Linked DNA regions of Cricetulus griseus. The protein of the gene in region 3 interacts with the protein of the main gene of each other region in a pairwise test. Links are inferred from orthologs where the notes say so. Each region holds a gene or a part of one and is shown on either strand. Other genes may lie near its edges.

The links.
Region 1: the proteins of Enoph1 (region 3) and Rnf41 interact in binary tests that used the Homo sapiens proteins (3 or more experiments, as listed by UniProt). The link is inferred for Cricetulus griseus from reciprocal best matches to the Homo sapiens genes ENOPH1 and RNF41.
Region 2: the proteins of Enoph1 (region 3) and Rps27 interact in a two-hybrid assay, tested with the Homo sapiens proteins (2 studies listed by BioGRID and IntAct). The link is inferred for Cricetulus griseus from reciprocal best matches to the Homo sapiens genes ENOPH1 and RPS27.

The regions. Positions count from the first base shown.
Region 1 is NW_023276806.1:129,470,895-129,475,974, forward strand, and holds the start of Rnf41 (E3 ubiquitin-protein ligase NRDP1), read right to left. Parts: upstream 3,266-5,080; 5' UTR 3,002-3,265; intron 1-3,001. UniProt on the Homo sapiens protein: Acts as E3 ubiquitin-protein ligase and regulates the degradation of target proteins. Polyubiquitinates MYD88. Negatively regulates MYD88-dependent production of pro-inflammatory cytokines.
Region 2 is NW_023276806.1:64,344,711-64,348,689, forward strand, and holds Rps27 (40S ribosomal protein S27), read left to right. Parts: upstream 1-1,735; 5' UTR 1,736-1,865; coding exon 1,866-1,871; intron 1,872-2,181; coding exon 2,182-2,290; intron 2,291-2,507; coding exon 2,508-2,618; intron 2,619-2,929; coding exon 2,930-2,958; 3' UTR 2,959-3,014; downstream 3,015-3,979. Other genes in the region: Nup210l (nuclear pore membrane glycoprotein 210-like), read right to left, coding at 3,644-3,741, 3,835-3,909.
Region 3 is NW_023276807.1:162,164,903-162,169,184, forward strand, and holds part of Enoph1 (enolase-phosphatase E1), read left to right. Parts: intron 1-166; coding exon 167-207; intron 208-621; coding exon 622-723; intron 724-1,878; coding exon 1,879-2,081; intron 2,082-4,176; coding exon 4,177-4,282. UniProt on the Homo sapiens protein: Bifunctional enzyme that catalyzes the enolization of 2,3-diketo-5-methylthiopentyl-1-phosphate (DK-MTP-1-P) into the intermediate 2-hydroxy-3-keto-5-methylthiopentenyl-1-phosphate (HK-MTPenyl-1-P), which is then dephosphorylated to form the acireductone 1,2-dihydroxy-3-keto-5-methylthiopentene (DHK-MTPene).

The DNA.
Region 1 (5,080 bases), on a different chromosome or scaffold from region 3:
TCCAAATTGGTGGCTATACAATATGTGAATCTATATTTCCCCTATACTAGCCTTTAATGTTTCCAAAGGGCTTTCACTTACATTATTTCCAGTCAAAATAATTCTGGAGGCCATGGATGGTGGTAGGCTCATGCCTGTAATCCCTACACTCAGTAAGCAAAATAGGAGAACTCTTGAGTTCGAGGCCAGCTCTGGCTATATAGCAAGTTTTAAACCAACCTAGGCTACATGGCCAAACCTTGTCTCAAACAAAAACAAAAAAATCTGGGCTGTAGATGCTGCTCAATAGTAGAGATTTACAATACCCAGCATTTACAGGTCACAGGGACCCAATCCTTAGTACCACAGGAAAACAAAAACAAGAAACCTGAGTTGGACATGATGGTGCATGCCTGTAATGCCAAGACTTGAAAAACTCAGAAGACAGTGAGTTTCAAGCCAGCTGGACTACACAGAGACCCTCCTGTCTCAATAAATCAAGAAGTCTATTTCTAAATTGTGTTCAGACCCAGTCTGAAATAATACTTAAAATCAGGCAAACAGTGGGAAAGCTGATGGACACCTGCAATACTAGCACCTGGGATTGAAGGAAGGAGGATCAGGAATTCAAGGCTAGCCTGGCCTATATGAGACCCTGTCTCAAAAAAATTAAAAAGTTCGGGCCGGACACTGGTGGCGCATGCCTTTAATCCCAGCACTCGGGAGGCAGAGGCAGGTGGATCTCTGTGAGTTTGAGGCCAGCCTGGTCTCCATATGGAGTGTCAGGATAAGCTCCAGAGAAACCCTGTCTCGAAAAACCAAAACAAACAAAAAACACTGTATAAGCTGGACAGTGGTAGCGCACGCCTTTAATCCCAGCACTCGGGAGACAGAGGCAGGCGGATCTCTGTGAGTTCAAGACCAGCCTCGTCTACAGAGTTCCAGGAGAGCCAGGGCTACACAGAGAAACCCTTTCTTGAAAAACAAAAAAAACAAAACAAAACAAAAAAATCCAGGTACTGCCTTCCACGTGGAAAACATTACTTTACACATAGACACCCAAGAATGCTGCTATAGGTGCAAAATGAGAAATACTCTGGAAGGAAATCGGGCTTTGAAAAAGGAGGGAAGAGGAGTGGGGCCTGAGGCAACGGGTGATACAAAAAAACAAGGTCAGGCATGGTGGAGTCTGTAATCCCAACACCTGGGAGGCTGAGACAGGAGGATCACTGCAAATTCAAGGTCAGCAGGGACTACAGGATGAGACCCTTCCTCAAATCATTGGTAAGGAGGGAAAAGTAGAGATGTTGCTCCAGGGTGGGCAACTTGTTCAGATATAGCAGTTAAACTGGGCTGACTAGATGCATGCCTACCGAGATAGAACCAAGTCCAAGTTTCCAGTGCCCTGAGAATTTGATTCAAAGAGGTACAGGAATGTTAACCAAACTCCTACTAATCAAACTCCTGTATCATATATATATATTTTTTTTTTTCAAGGGCTATGTTGGGATAAAATAATGGTGATTTTTACAAAGAATACAAATTCTCCAGAATATGGTACTTTGTTCATTAGTTCACCGTGCTCATCATCAACTACATGTTCACATGTCCTCTCAGAAGGAGAGATGATGTAAAACCTGGCACTTTCCCTTCTTCACAGTCCAGAAGAGGAGTGGTGGAGTTGATGTTCTTCTCCTCCCCATTTCCCAACAAGCTGGCACACACCTGTATCTCAAAAAATGCTTCCAGGAAGAGGTTCTATAGGCAATGCTCGGTCTCCTAGGGTCAAGACCCAGACCCAGAAATCAAAAAGCTTCCCGTGATGGGCAAATTAATAGGGGTTAATCTAAAAAAATAGATAAAGGGTTATTGACCAAGCAAAGAAGCAGGAGAGAGAGAGAGGTGTCTTGGGTTATTCCAGTCCTAGCTCTGCCACCCACCAACTTCAAATAAGGCATTGCAACCAGTTTCTCCAACTGTCAAACAGACGATGACATTTGCCCTATCTTACATACAGCAAATCAAACGACAAAATAAATAGGAAAGGAGATTCCAGACTGCTATTAGTTGTAGCAACAGAATGGCACAATAAATTCACAATGAGGACCAGAGGAAATGTTTGGAATTGCTTGTTCCCCCTTTTCAACTACTGGGAAGCAGGCCCTGTCACAGGGTCTACTGGTGACAGAGTATCAACATTAATGTACCCCTCTCCTTCCCTTACCACTATCCAATCCCATTCCTTCTTAGGGAAATACTAGCAGCCAGCAACACTGTAATTAGCTAACACTATTGTATAAGAAGTACCTGCCAAGATTCTCACAGGTCAGTCTCTGAGAACAGTGGCCTTGGTAACCGCCACAATTGCTACCAGTTGAGATGAAGCTAGTTTTTTAAAGGAAAAGTGTGTGCCGATCCCAAACATGCTCAATCCTGCTCGCTTTCGGCTCTCTCCTGTTCCTACTCTCTACCCACCAACTGTTCTGCCTCCTTGGGCTGGGGTGGGCTTCGTATAAAGCGAGTGGATGGATCGTGCGTGCGAGGGAGCGGGGCTGCAAATCATCCAGGGGCAAGGATGTCAGGAATGTAAGAGTCCTCCACGGAGGGGTGGGAGGGGAGAGGAGCGGCGAAGGAATAAAAGAGAAAGACAAGGCTGCCAAAGACAAGGCATGGGAAAGAAGCCAAGCTATGGCGCTTGGAGGGCGGAGGTTTGGGTTCCGTGGCTCCTGCCAAGGCTGGCCCCCAGAACGTTCCCCTCCTCGCCTCCAGGCCCGTCAATCATTGCCATTTAAACTCCACGTTGTCCCCTAGGCCGAGCCGTCTGCTCCTCCCCGGTCCTCGGGCCAGCCCAAGGCCACTCCCGCACTTCCCAAGGCTTCCCTGCTCCAGAGGACCTTCCCAAGCTCCTGAGCCCCCAGCTCGCCTCCCGACTCCTCCCAGCAGAGCTCCCTTCCTCCATCCTCCTCCCCCCCTCCACCCTTCCTCTCGACCCCCAGCACCTCCGACCCAGGCGCCTACCCACCGGGACCTCGCCCCCTCCGCTCCGCTCCGCTTCGCTCCCCTCCCCTCCCGGGTGAGAAGCTCGTTCAGGAGCGTTACGCACCGCCCTGGACACTGAGTGGGTTCTCCGGACGCGGGGCCGGGCTGCAGCTGAGGCCACGGCGGCCGCGGAGTGGCCTGGGTGCCGGCTCTCAGCCTCTCCCCGTAGGGGAAGGGGAAGGGGAAGGAAAGGATGGGGAAGAAGGTTCCAACCACTCCTGCTCGTCTCGGACTGACCCTTTTGCCACGCCCACCGCTGCTACGCAACGGGGCGGAAGTCCGTCACCAAACCCCGCCCCTTTGTTTAACTCGGCGGCGACGACCGGACGCTCCAAGCGAGCGGCCCCGGTTCGCTAGACCTCCGCTCTTGCCCGGAAGTTGTTAGAAACGGACCCCCGGCGGGATTTGATAGCCATTTGGGAGGGAGGACTCTATGCTCTCCAGGTGTAACGATCTGGGGCGACCGTGGATGTACTGCCCGGCCATGTCACTTCGTGTGCGATAACGCAGGTCTCGGGCGGGCGCTGCAGCTGATGCAACGTCGGGGCGAGATGGCCTCGGGACAACCGGTCTGCTACTGCTGCTGCTGCTGCTGCTGCAGCGTAACCTGCTGCTGTCCTCCCTGCCCCTCAGTTTCCAGAGCTGCTGTGGTCAGCATCGCGGAGCCTCCCGGCCTCGTGTCATGGGAAGGGACACAGCGGTTAACTCGGAAGGCTGCGGGGTGGGGAGGGGGGGAGGGAGGGAGGCAGGGAGGCAGGGTCACACCGCAAAGCTCTGACCCAGGGTGTTGTAAGGGTCGCCCGCCTCCCGGCCACATTCGATGGCTCTTGAGAAACTCAATCGTGCCCTGAAACACTGTGAAGGGTTTGGTTTCCTGAGGTTGCAGCTGCGCGATTGGGGGGTGTGGGTGGGAGAGAACCTGGACTTGGAAGTCACCGTGGAGCTTAAAGCGCTCTGCTATATAGGTAAGGGATCGAGCAAGGCAAGAAACGAGATTACATTTACCCCTTAGGCTAACCTGGTGCCAAACAGTATTTGTTATGTTGTCTTTTTAAAAAATTCACATTAGTGCATTTGTAACTCGTTTGTTTGTAAGAGGTAGTTGCCTTTGAGGACTGACAAGTACCCCGAGGGCACTAAAGGTGCTGGGTGTTTTAAGATCCAGTGAGAAAAGAAAATAGGAACCGGACATGCCCTGCGAAAAGACTTGCTTTTTATGTCCCGGATTCCATTTCTTCCAAAGGAGGCTGAATCTGCCTAATGTCTTTTCTAAAGCATAAATGCCACTTGATCCAGAGGCCTGGGCAGAACTGTTCAGTGTATTAAAGATGAAGGCCCCTATGTCTAAGTTAATGCCATATCCTAGGCATCGCTTTTTACCTAACTCTACATTTTCATGTATAAAACGGAATTTATATGTTTAAGAATAGCCGAGCAAAGAAGCGAAGAGAGGGGCTGGCATTCAAACTTCTGCCCGCTGCATTCCTAAGCCCTTGGACCTTTTTCCATTGTGCCACTACTTGAAAAGGAAAAAAAAAAAAAAAAAAAAACCCACAATCTTGCGAGCCTGGAGCGCCTTTTTCTGAGCCGAACTGAGGCGCCCCCTGGCGGTCGGTCCATCTTCTCCCGCGCGGAACTCATCTTCGTCGAGGCTCCTTTAATTCCTAAAACCTCCCCGTTCGTGGCGCGTGAATACCGGCGCCTGATTGGGTGGGCGGCGGCTGGAGGCGGGGTTTTTGGAGGGCAGATCAGCTCCCATTGGCTAGGGAAGGTCAGGGGACACTTCCGGGAATGTGTGCGCTCCCGCGTTCCACTCCGCAGCATCCGGCGGCAGCCAGCCCCCTGGCTCCCCCTGCGGGTGGCTTGGCGGTGTGCACAGTCCCGCCTGCTGGCTGGGTGGGTGGTGGGCTGTGAATGGGGGAGGGGACCGGGCGAGCTCTGGGTGTGGGGATGAGGGTGCAGGAAGATCCGCCGAGTAGGATTCTCTCCCCTGGCGCTGCTCCGGGTTCCCTAAGAGTCTCCTTGAGCCTCCCTGCTTCGGAGCGTGAGACCGAGAGCATCC
Region 2 (3,979 bases), on a different chromosome or scaffold from region 3:
TCTCAACCTGTGGGTCACAACCCCATTAGGGGTGGAATGACCCATTCACAGGGGTTGCCTGAGACCATTGGAAAACACAGATATTTACATTACAATTCATAACAGTAGCAAAATGACAGCTATGAAGTAGCAATGGAATAACTTTATGGTTGGAGGTCATGAGGAATTGCACTAAAGGGTTGAAGCATTAGAAGGTTGAGAACCAATGGCTTAGATTGTTTTCTACAAATGATAAAAGGCCCTGGATTAGATTACTAACACTACACCCTCCCCACAGCACACACACTAGATATCACAACATGCCTGCAACCCGAGCACTTTCTTGGTGGAGGTCAGCCTGGGACTAAAGACACTGTCTTTTTTCCTTTTTGTTTTTCTTATTTATTTATTTATTTATTTATTTGTTTATTTTTGAGACAGGGTTTCTCTGTGTAGCTTTCGAGGCTGTCCTGGAACTTGCTCTTGTAGACCAGGCTGGTCTTGAACTCACAGAGATCTGCCTGCCTCTGTCTCCTGAGTGCTGGGATTAAAGGCTTTCGCCACCAATGTCCGGCTTAATTTGTTTTCTTAGCACAGGTTTCTCTGTGTAGCTATGGCTGTCCTGTAACTCTCTCTGTAGACCAGGCTGGCTTCAAACTCAAGAGACTGCTTGCCTTTGTCTCCCAAGTATTGGGATTAAATGTGTGAGTCATCACCACCTGGCTGAAACACTGGAATTCACAATCCACCTGCCTCTGCCTCCCCAGTGCTGGATTAAAGGTGCCAACATATCTGGACTGGACAATTTAACTTCTCTGAGCAGCAACACAGGGATCTGTACAAATGTGATAATAGCAACAGTAGCTTCATAGTTAATTAGCATACTTGTAAAACAAAGCAAAGCAAAACAAAAAAACAAAAAATTTTAGCATACTTGTTTTATTTTTATTTGGTTTTTAGAGACAAAGTCTAGTTCTGGCTGTGCTGGAATGCAGCGATAAAAGGTGTGACCTCATGTGGTCTTTAATTAGCATGTTAAAAACAATGCATCAGTCAAGACTTACATAGATATTTGATTTTATTCTTCAAAGGTTAGGGATTGGAAGAATACAAAATCAGTTTGTATCCTTAGCACTGGAAAACAGCAACAACAACAAAACAATGGTAAACAATAGGGTTAGTTGCAGTGGGGCAAATATGAACAGGGCTTTTTTTTCCCAGACAGGTCTCCTGTAGTCCACATTTGACCTCAGATTTGCTATGGAGCCCAGGATGATTCTGATTTATCCTCGGGGTCTTGGAAGTGCTGGGATTACAGCCTTGAGCCACAGACACCATCACTACGCCCTGCCCTGCCCTACACGGTTTACAAAATGCTGGGGATTAAATTCAGGGCTTTGTGCACGCTAAGAAGGAAGTTTATTAATGCAATACACCCCCAACTCCAAGCGAATATTTTATTTAAAATGTATTACATATAGAATTGTTTGTTAATCAGGGTAAATTAAGCCAATTGCAAAATGTAAAAGAACATCAGTAAATCGCTGGTGTTCACCTCTGCTGTTCACATTACACTCCAGCTGTCAAAGCGTAGTAGGGAAATTTTAAACTATCCTTTTTTTTTTTTTTTTTGACACCTGCAAAACCCTGAACTCAAAATAGAAGCTAATTCTCTCACCATGGTTATGCACCGGCGACACGAGGAGCCTTTACAGACCTTCTGAAAATGGCAGCCCACGGCGCAACCCTTGCATTCGAACGGCAAACCCGACCTTCCCAAGATGGCAGAACAACAAGGGCTCGTCACTTCCTGTGCCCTACCGGATATAAGGAACAGGATTTCCGCTTTCGCTCCTTTCCGGCGGTGACGACCTCCCTACGAGAACATGCCTGTGAGTTCCTTGGTCCTGGTTTCGGCAGGGAGCACGCTCTTGTGTCTACATTCTCCTCTCGCGCTGATTGCAGATCGTAGAGGGGCCACACTTACGCTCCGCGTACCTTAGGGCAGTAATTCCAGAGCCGCGGCGGCCCACGGGCCACCCGCGTAGATGGGAGCGGAGAGGAGATAAGATGGCGGCCCAGCTACGCAGACACCAGGGGCGGCAAGGGGCGAGTGCTCCCCGGTGTGTGACAGCGGGCACCGTTTGCCGTCGCCTCTTTTTATCCCTGCCTTCTAAATCTCTGCCTTTCTGCCCCTCGTAGCTCGCAAAGGATCTCCTTCATCCCTCTCCAGAAGAGGAAAAGAGGAAACACAAGAAAAAGCGCCTGGTGCAGAGCCCCAATTCCTACTTTATGGATGTGAAGTGCCCAGGTGAGGAGGTGGTTTGCTGGAGCGGGGAAAGCACTGATCATCAGCAGTCGAGGACTTTCTGAGAATTCAAAAAGACGGACTTGGATCTACATCTTAGAAGGAGTGCTTGGATTAGTGACAGCGACCGCACTGTTTTAGGAAGCTGTAAAGGGATGGTAACTTGAAGAAAAACTGAAAGCAGCTAACATTTTTTGTTGTTGATTTCTCTCTCTTTCAGGATGCTATAAAATCACCACGGTCTTTAGCCATGCACAAACGGTAGTCTTGTGTGTTGGCTGCTCCACTGTCCTCTGTCAGCCCACAGGCGGAAAAGCAAGGCTGACAGAAGGTAAGTGGTCTTCATGTTGGGTACTGACAGATCATGTAGCATGCAAACCTCCAGACTAGTAAAGTAAGCTGCATTCTTGTTAAAGTAGGCATTATTAATAGTTGTATTGATCTCAAAGCAGTATTGCTTAAAGCTGGGGTGGCCTGGTTTTGTTAAAAGGGTTTCATTTGTTTCCAGATGATAGGAACTGGAGAAAGAGATGTGTATAAATGGGAAGTAGACAGTGGGATTGAGAACAGATGTTCTTCAATCAGCATTCTGCAGATGAAGCAGGGGCTTCATGATGTAACACCTTTTTCTTTTCCTTCCAGGATGCTCCTTCAGGAGGAAGCAGCACTGAAAAGCACCTGATTCAAGATGAGTGGGAACCATCCCAATAAACACATTTTGGATATATATAGTGTCTGTCTTGTTTAACTGGTAGGAAGTTATGCCTCAAGTATTCCAGGGCAACCAGAAGAGTGGTCCTTTTGGGTCAAGTAAGTGGCCAAGAGTTCATTTCAGGCATTTGCATCTGGGTTCATAAACTGGTGGAACTGTATAGTTAATTGGGCTTTGTGTTCTCCTAATGTCTTTTTACTATTTATTCACTGTCTAGGGAAGCGCTGTCATACAAAGGTGTGTGACAGTTGTCATTCAGGGGTTGGTGCTACACACTACTAGAAGCAGAAGCAGTCAAGTTCAGAGCAGCCAGGATTACTGTACTTGTGTTCTTTAGTTTAGACGGGGTCTTATCATAGCTTCAAGTCACTACAGCAAGGGATACCTCCCAAGTGATGATGGCATTGTAGGTGTGCACCACCATATTAATTTATGTGGTGCTAGGAACAGAAACCCAGGGCTTGGTGGGGCCCCAGAAACTTAATCTTTTCAACACAGGAATTGGAATCAAACCGCTTAAGTTCCTTTATTTATGGTTAATAGAAAACTTGTTTTGGAGGTTAGTATAGAGTTTGCTACTCTATACTAATCCTTCTGCAGGATTAGGTGTCTCCTCCATTCTTTGACATGTGCTCATATTTAGGTTAGTGCTTTATACTCCATAACCAGTGTTGCAGCCGACTCTGTACTAGAGGTGGCTGTGGGTTCAGGAAGTGAGGGGGGGAACATGTTGTATAAGAACCTGGAAGAAAAGGGTGATAGTGAAGGCAAGTAAGCAAATATATAAGTTCACATACATCTGAACTTATGAAAGACAAGGGCAGTGGTTGTTTACCTGGCTGAGTTGTTCCTATAGTTGGTACATAAACAACAGGAACAGTCTGTATTTTGTTGAGGAAGGCATTGTATGCTGGATAAAGGAAACACCACAGAAAGATTTATGCGATTTTGATTGAAGGAAGGAAGATTTAAAGGCCAGC
Region 3 (4,282 bases):
CCAGTCATATACCATGGTGTACTTTGAGTAAGGCACTGTCAATCCATGCCTCAAGAGTCTGGCCTGGGGATGGAGAGGGCTAGTGGTTAAGAGTACTTGCTGGTCTTGCGAAGGACCCACGTTCAGTTACCACATCCACATGGTGGCTCATAATGTCTGACTTCAGTTCCAGGGGATCTGACATCCTCTGAAGGCAAACATACAAAGGTAAACACCCATACGCACAAAATAAAAATAAATAATAAAAACGAAACAAAAGCAAAGAGCAAACGAAAAGACTATGGTCTAACAGTATAGTCTGAGAGTTAATTTGTGTAAATGGCTGGTGAGCTGGTTTTAGGCTTTGTGGGCTAAATGGTCCTAGCTCTGCCATTGTGGCCAGAGACTATGTAAAATAAATGATTGTCGCTGAATTTCAATAATACTTCATAAATACAAGCTGGACCAGTATACCTGTTTCTTAGTCTCCTTTCCTGTCCCACTGGGAGACCCACAGCAGTAATTTCCGTTGAGACTTCCATTGTTGAATTTGTTAGTTAAGGTGAGATTATAAAACACAGATCATTTGGTGCAATTTAAAAAATAACATTTTTTTTTTGTCTCCCTCCCTTCTTCCCCCAGGACACTTTATTCCCTTACATCAAAGAGAATGTTAAGGAGTACCTGCAGACTCACTGGGATGAGGAGGAATGTCAGCAAGATGTCAGCCTGCTGAGGAAACAGGTGAGGACTTCCCTCTTCAACATTCCCAGAGTCTCGGAGTGGAGGATGCCTAGAGACTTGGAACATGCTGTGAGCACACTGGAAATCAGTGTCCTTGATCCTGGTCTAGAAGCTGCAGTGACTTGCCTGCCTAGCAATTCACAGCCTGTAATAAAACAAGCAAGTCATAGCAATTCGTTGTCTGCAGAATTGCTTCTTTCAGCAACTGTTTAAATAGCCTGAAAGCCTTGTGTATTTGTAAAATTAGCCCTTTCTGGTGGAATACAAAATGTCTTGTGCAATGTCATCACATTTCGTATATGTCACCAAGTGACAGCACCTTGTCATTTCCTATTGTCCCACCTTATGGCATGAAACTGCCCTCTTTACAGTGCTCATGGGTCCTTGAATCTTGTCACCCTACCAGACTTCTCAACCAGTTTACCCTTGGCCCAGTCTACAGACTGCTTTCTGCCACTCTCTAGCCAGTCTGTGAACTTCTTCAGCATGGTGTGCTGACTTCAGTGGCAAAGATCTTCATGTTGTGCAGCCCTACACTGGATTGTACATTTCCTACACTGGATTGTAGAATGCTGTCCATGTGTCTTTTATTTATGGCAAGAAGTTAGAATTAGAAATAATCATGCCATCCATTGAATCATGCAGTATTTGGGTTTGCTGAGTTTTCTGGATAACTTGAGGTTAATCTGAAATACTCCCCTTAATCTTTATTGTCTCAAAAAGGAGGTTCCATACATACATACATACATATTTTATGTTCATTTAATGCATTGCATTGTTACAAAGTCCTAGTATATGAATTTGTTTTAATTATGTATATGTGTATGTACACGTGCCATGGTGCACTCATGGAGGTCAGAGCACAACTAGAGAAAGTCATTTCTCTCCTTTTGGTCATGAGGGTCCCCGAAATTGAACTCAGGCCAACAGGCTTAGTGGCAAGTGCTTTTTACCTAGCGATCGATCCCTTTTTGCCAGATCATTCATTTAAGAATAATTTTTAGCAGTTCTCAGGATAATTGATAGTTGGAAAAAACTGATCTTCCTGGTTTTGCTGTATCTTTTTAAAATACATGCACGTATGGGTGTATGCTTGTGCAAGCATATGTGTATAGCTCTTTAAATGAATAAACTTGATCTGTTTCTGATTTAAAGGCTGAAGAAGATGCACACCTGGATGGGGCCGTTCCAATCCCTGTGGCGTCAGGAAATGCTGGGGATGACCTGCAGCAGATGATCCAGGCCGTGGTGGATAATGTGTACTGGCAGATGTCTCATGATCGGAAGACCACAGCGCTCAAACAGCTGCAGGGCCACATGTGGAAGGCAGCTTTCACAGCTGGCCGCATGAAGGCAGAGTATGTGCTGTAATGATAGAATGTTTCACAGGCCCCAAGTCCACATACACCCCTCACTAGTTCTCTTTCTCCCTTGTAGACTGCAGTAAAATAGTAAAACAGATAAGTAAAAACAGATAAGTTGCTGGGCACGATACTACACACCTTTAATCCTAGCACTTAGGAGGCAGAGGCAGGCAGATCTCTTGAGTTCTAGGCAGACCAAGATGACATAGAGAGACCCTATCTTAAAAAAAAAAAAAAGATAAAATTCATATTGCTTTTATTGTAGCAAATGATTGTTCTCTCTCTCTCTCTCTCTCTCTCTCTCTCTCTCTCTCTCTCTCTCTCTCTCTCTCAGTCGCCAGCTTAGGTCCCCCAGATCTGGGGTTTAATGGGTAGGTGAAAGACTTTCAGTTCTATTTTAAAACAGTGTCCTAGAACATGGCAACTCCAGCCTGGTATACTGTTGTATGTCTGTGATACCTGAACCTTCTGTGAGCTAATTCATATTTAATCTGTGTCACTCATACCAGTGACATTCACACAGTGACAGCATTCTTGGTCTGCTTCTCTCAGTAGTTGATAAGAGAAGTGAGAGGGCTCAGCAGCCGGCTCAGCAGTTGCCAGTCCTGGGGGACCCAGTCTGACTTCCACAGATATTAGGCACATACACACACTATGCATGCAAAACACTCAGACACATAAAGCAAAATCAGAAAGAGAAGTAAGAACACTGAAATCCTGTTATTTGCAGTTACTCGTGGGCACAGTTTACTTCCCTAGCTTTTGGAGCACCTTCATAATCTTGGAGTCTCAGTCATGGGATTTCTGCTAGCTTTCCTGCTGAGTACTGTATTACTGAGATTGAAAAACAAAGCATAACAGTTTGGGCCAGTAAGAGGGCTTAGTGAGCAGGGCTGAGTGCTGCCAAGGCTGACAACCTGAGTTCAATCCCTAGGATCCACATTGTGGAAGGAGATAAACAGCTTCTGCAGGTTGACCTCTGACCTTGATATGTGTGCCATGGCATGTGCCTGTGTGTGCAGGTGTGTGTCTGCACTTGCAGGTATATGCACGAACAGACACATACACACACACATGATGTAAACAATTAAAGATAGGGTCTCAACTTATGTCTATCCTAGCTGGCCTGGACTTGTAGTGTAGCCCAGCTTGACTTCAAACTGGAATTTTCTTGCATTAGCTTTCTCAGTGCTGGGGTTTATAGATGTGTGCTTCCACATTCAACTGACCTTAGAGGTTCTTTTTTTTTCTTAAGGATTTTGGTAAATTGCCTTAGGTTAATTCTCAGATTCAAGGCCATTTTCAGCTGCTTGTGTGTCTTGTATTTCTTGTGTTTTGTTTAATGAGATGTTTTTGTCTGATACAAGGACCTGCCTTTTAAAAGAAGGCATTGAGATTTCAGGGTGTTTCCTTATGTATATGCAAGAAATACTCCTACATATATATAAAAAACATACTAAAATAGATATTTTTTTTTAAAATGGGGGAAAAGCATTTTCATGGTTTCTCAAAGCACAGTGAAGGTAAATCAGGCTTTTCTTATAAATTGCATCAATTAAGTAATACAATATTGTACATATTTTTATTTTAGCTCCTTGAGAATTAAAACATTTAATTTAATCTCAGATTTATTTTATTTGTGTTTTTTGCCTGCATGTAAGTAAGTATACCACATATATGCCTGGTGACCATGGAGGTCAGATGGGGGCATTGTATTCCCTAGGACTGGAGTTACAGACATTTGTGAGCTGCTATGTGGGTGCTGGGAACAGAACCAGGGACCTTTGGAAGAGCAGCCAGTGCTCTTAACTCTTGAGACATCTCTCTACCCACTAGTTACTTTCTCATTTCATCCCTTCATGCTTTTTTTTTATTAAAGTCAAATACCATTCTCTCTACCAAACTTGTTGCTTCTAATCTGTGATCCAGGAACTCCAGTGACCTGTTTATTACAACCACAGGAATTTCCTGTTTCATGGAGTTGCTTCTCAGGTTACCTTGTGAGTCGAGGCATGGTCTATGTACTGTCTGATTTTCATCTGACTCCATGGTGTATTTCTGCTTTGTAACTTGCTGGGTTTTCCTCCAGGTTCTTCGCGGACGTAGTCCCAGCTGTCAGAAGGTGGAGAGAGGCTGGAATGAAGGTGTACATCTACTCTTCAGGGAGTGTAGAGGCTCAGAAACTGCTCTTTGGG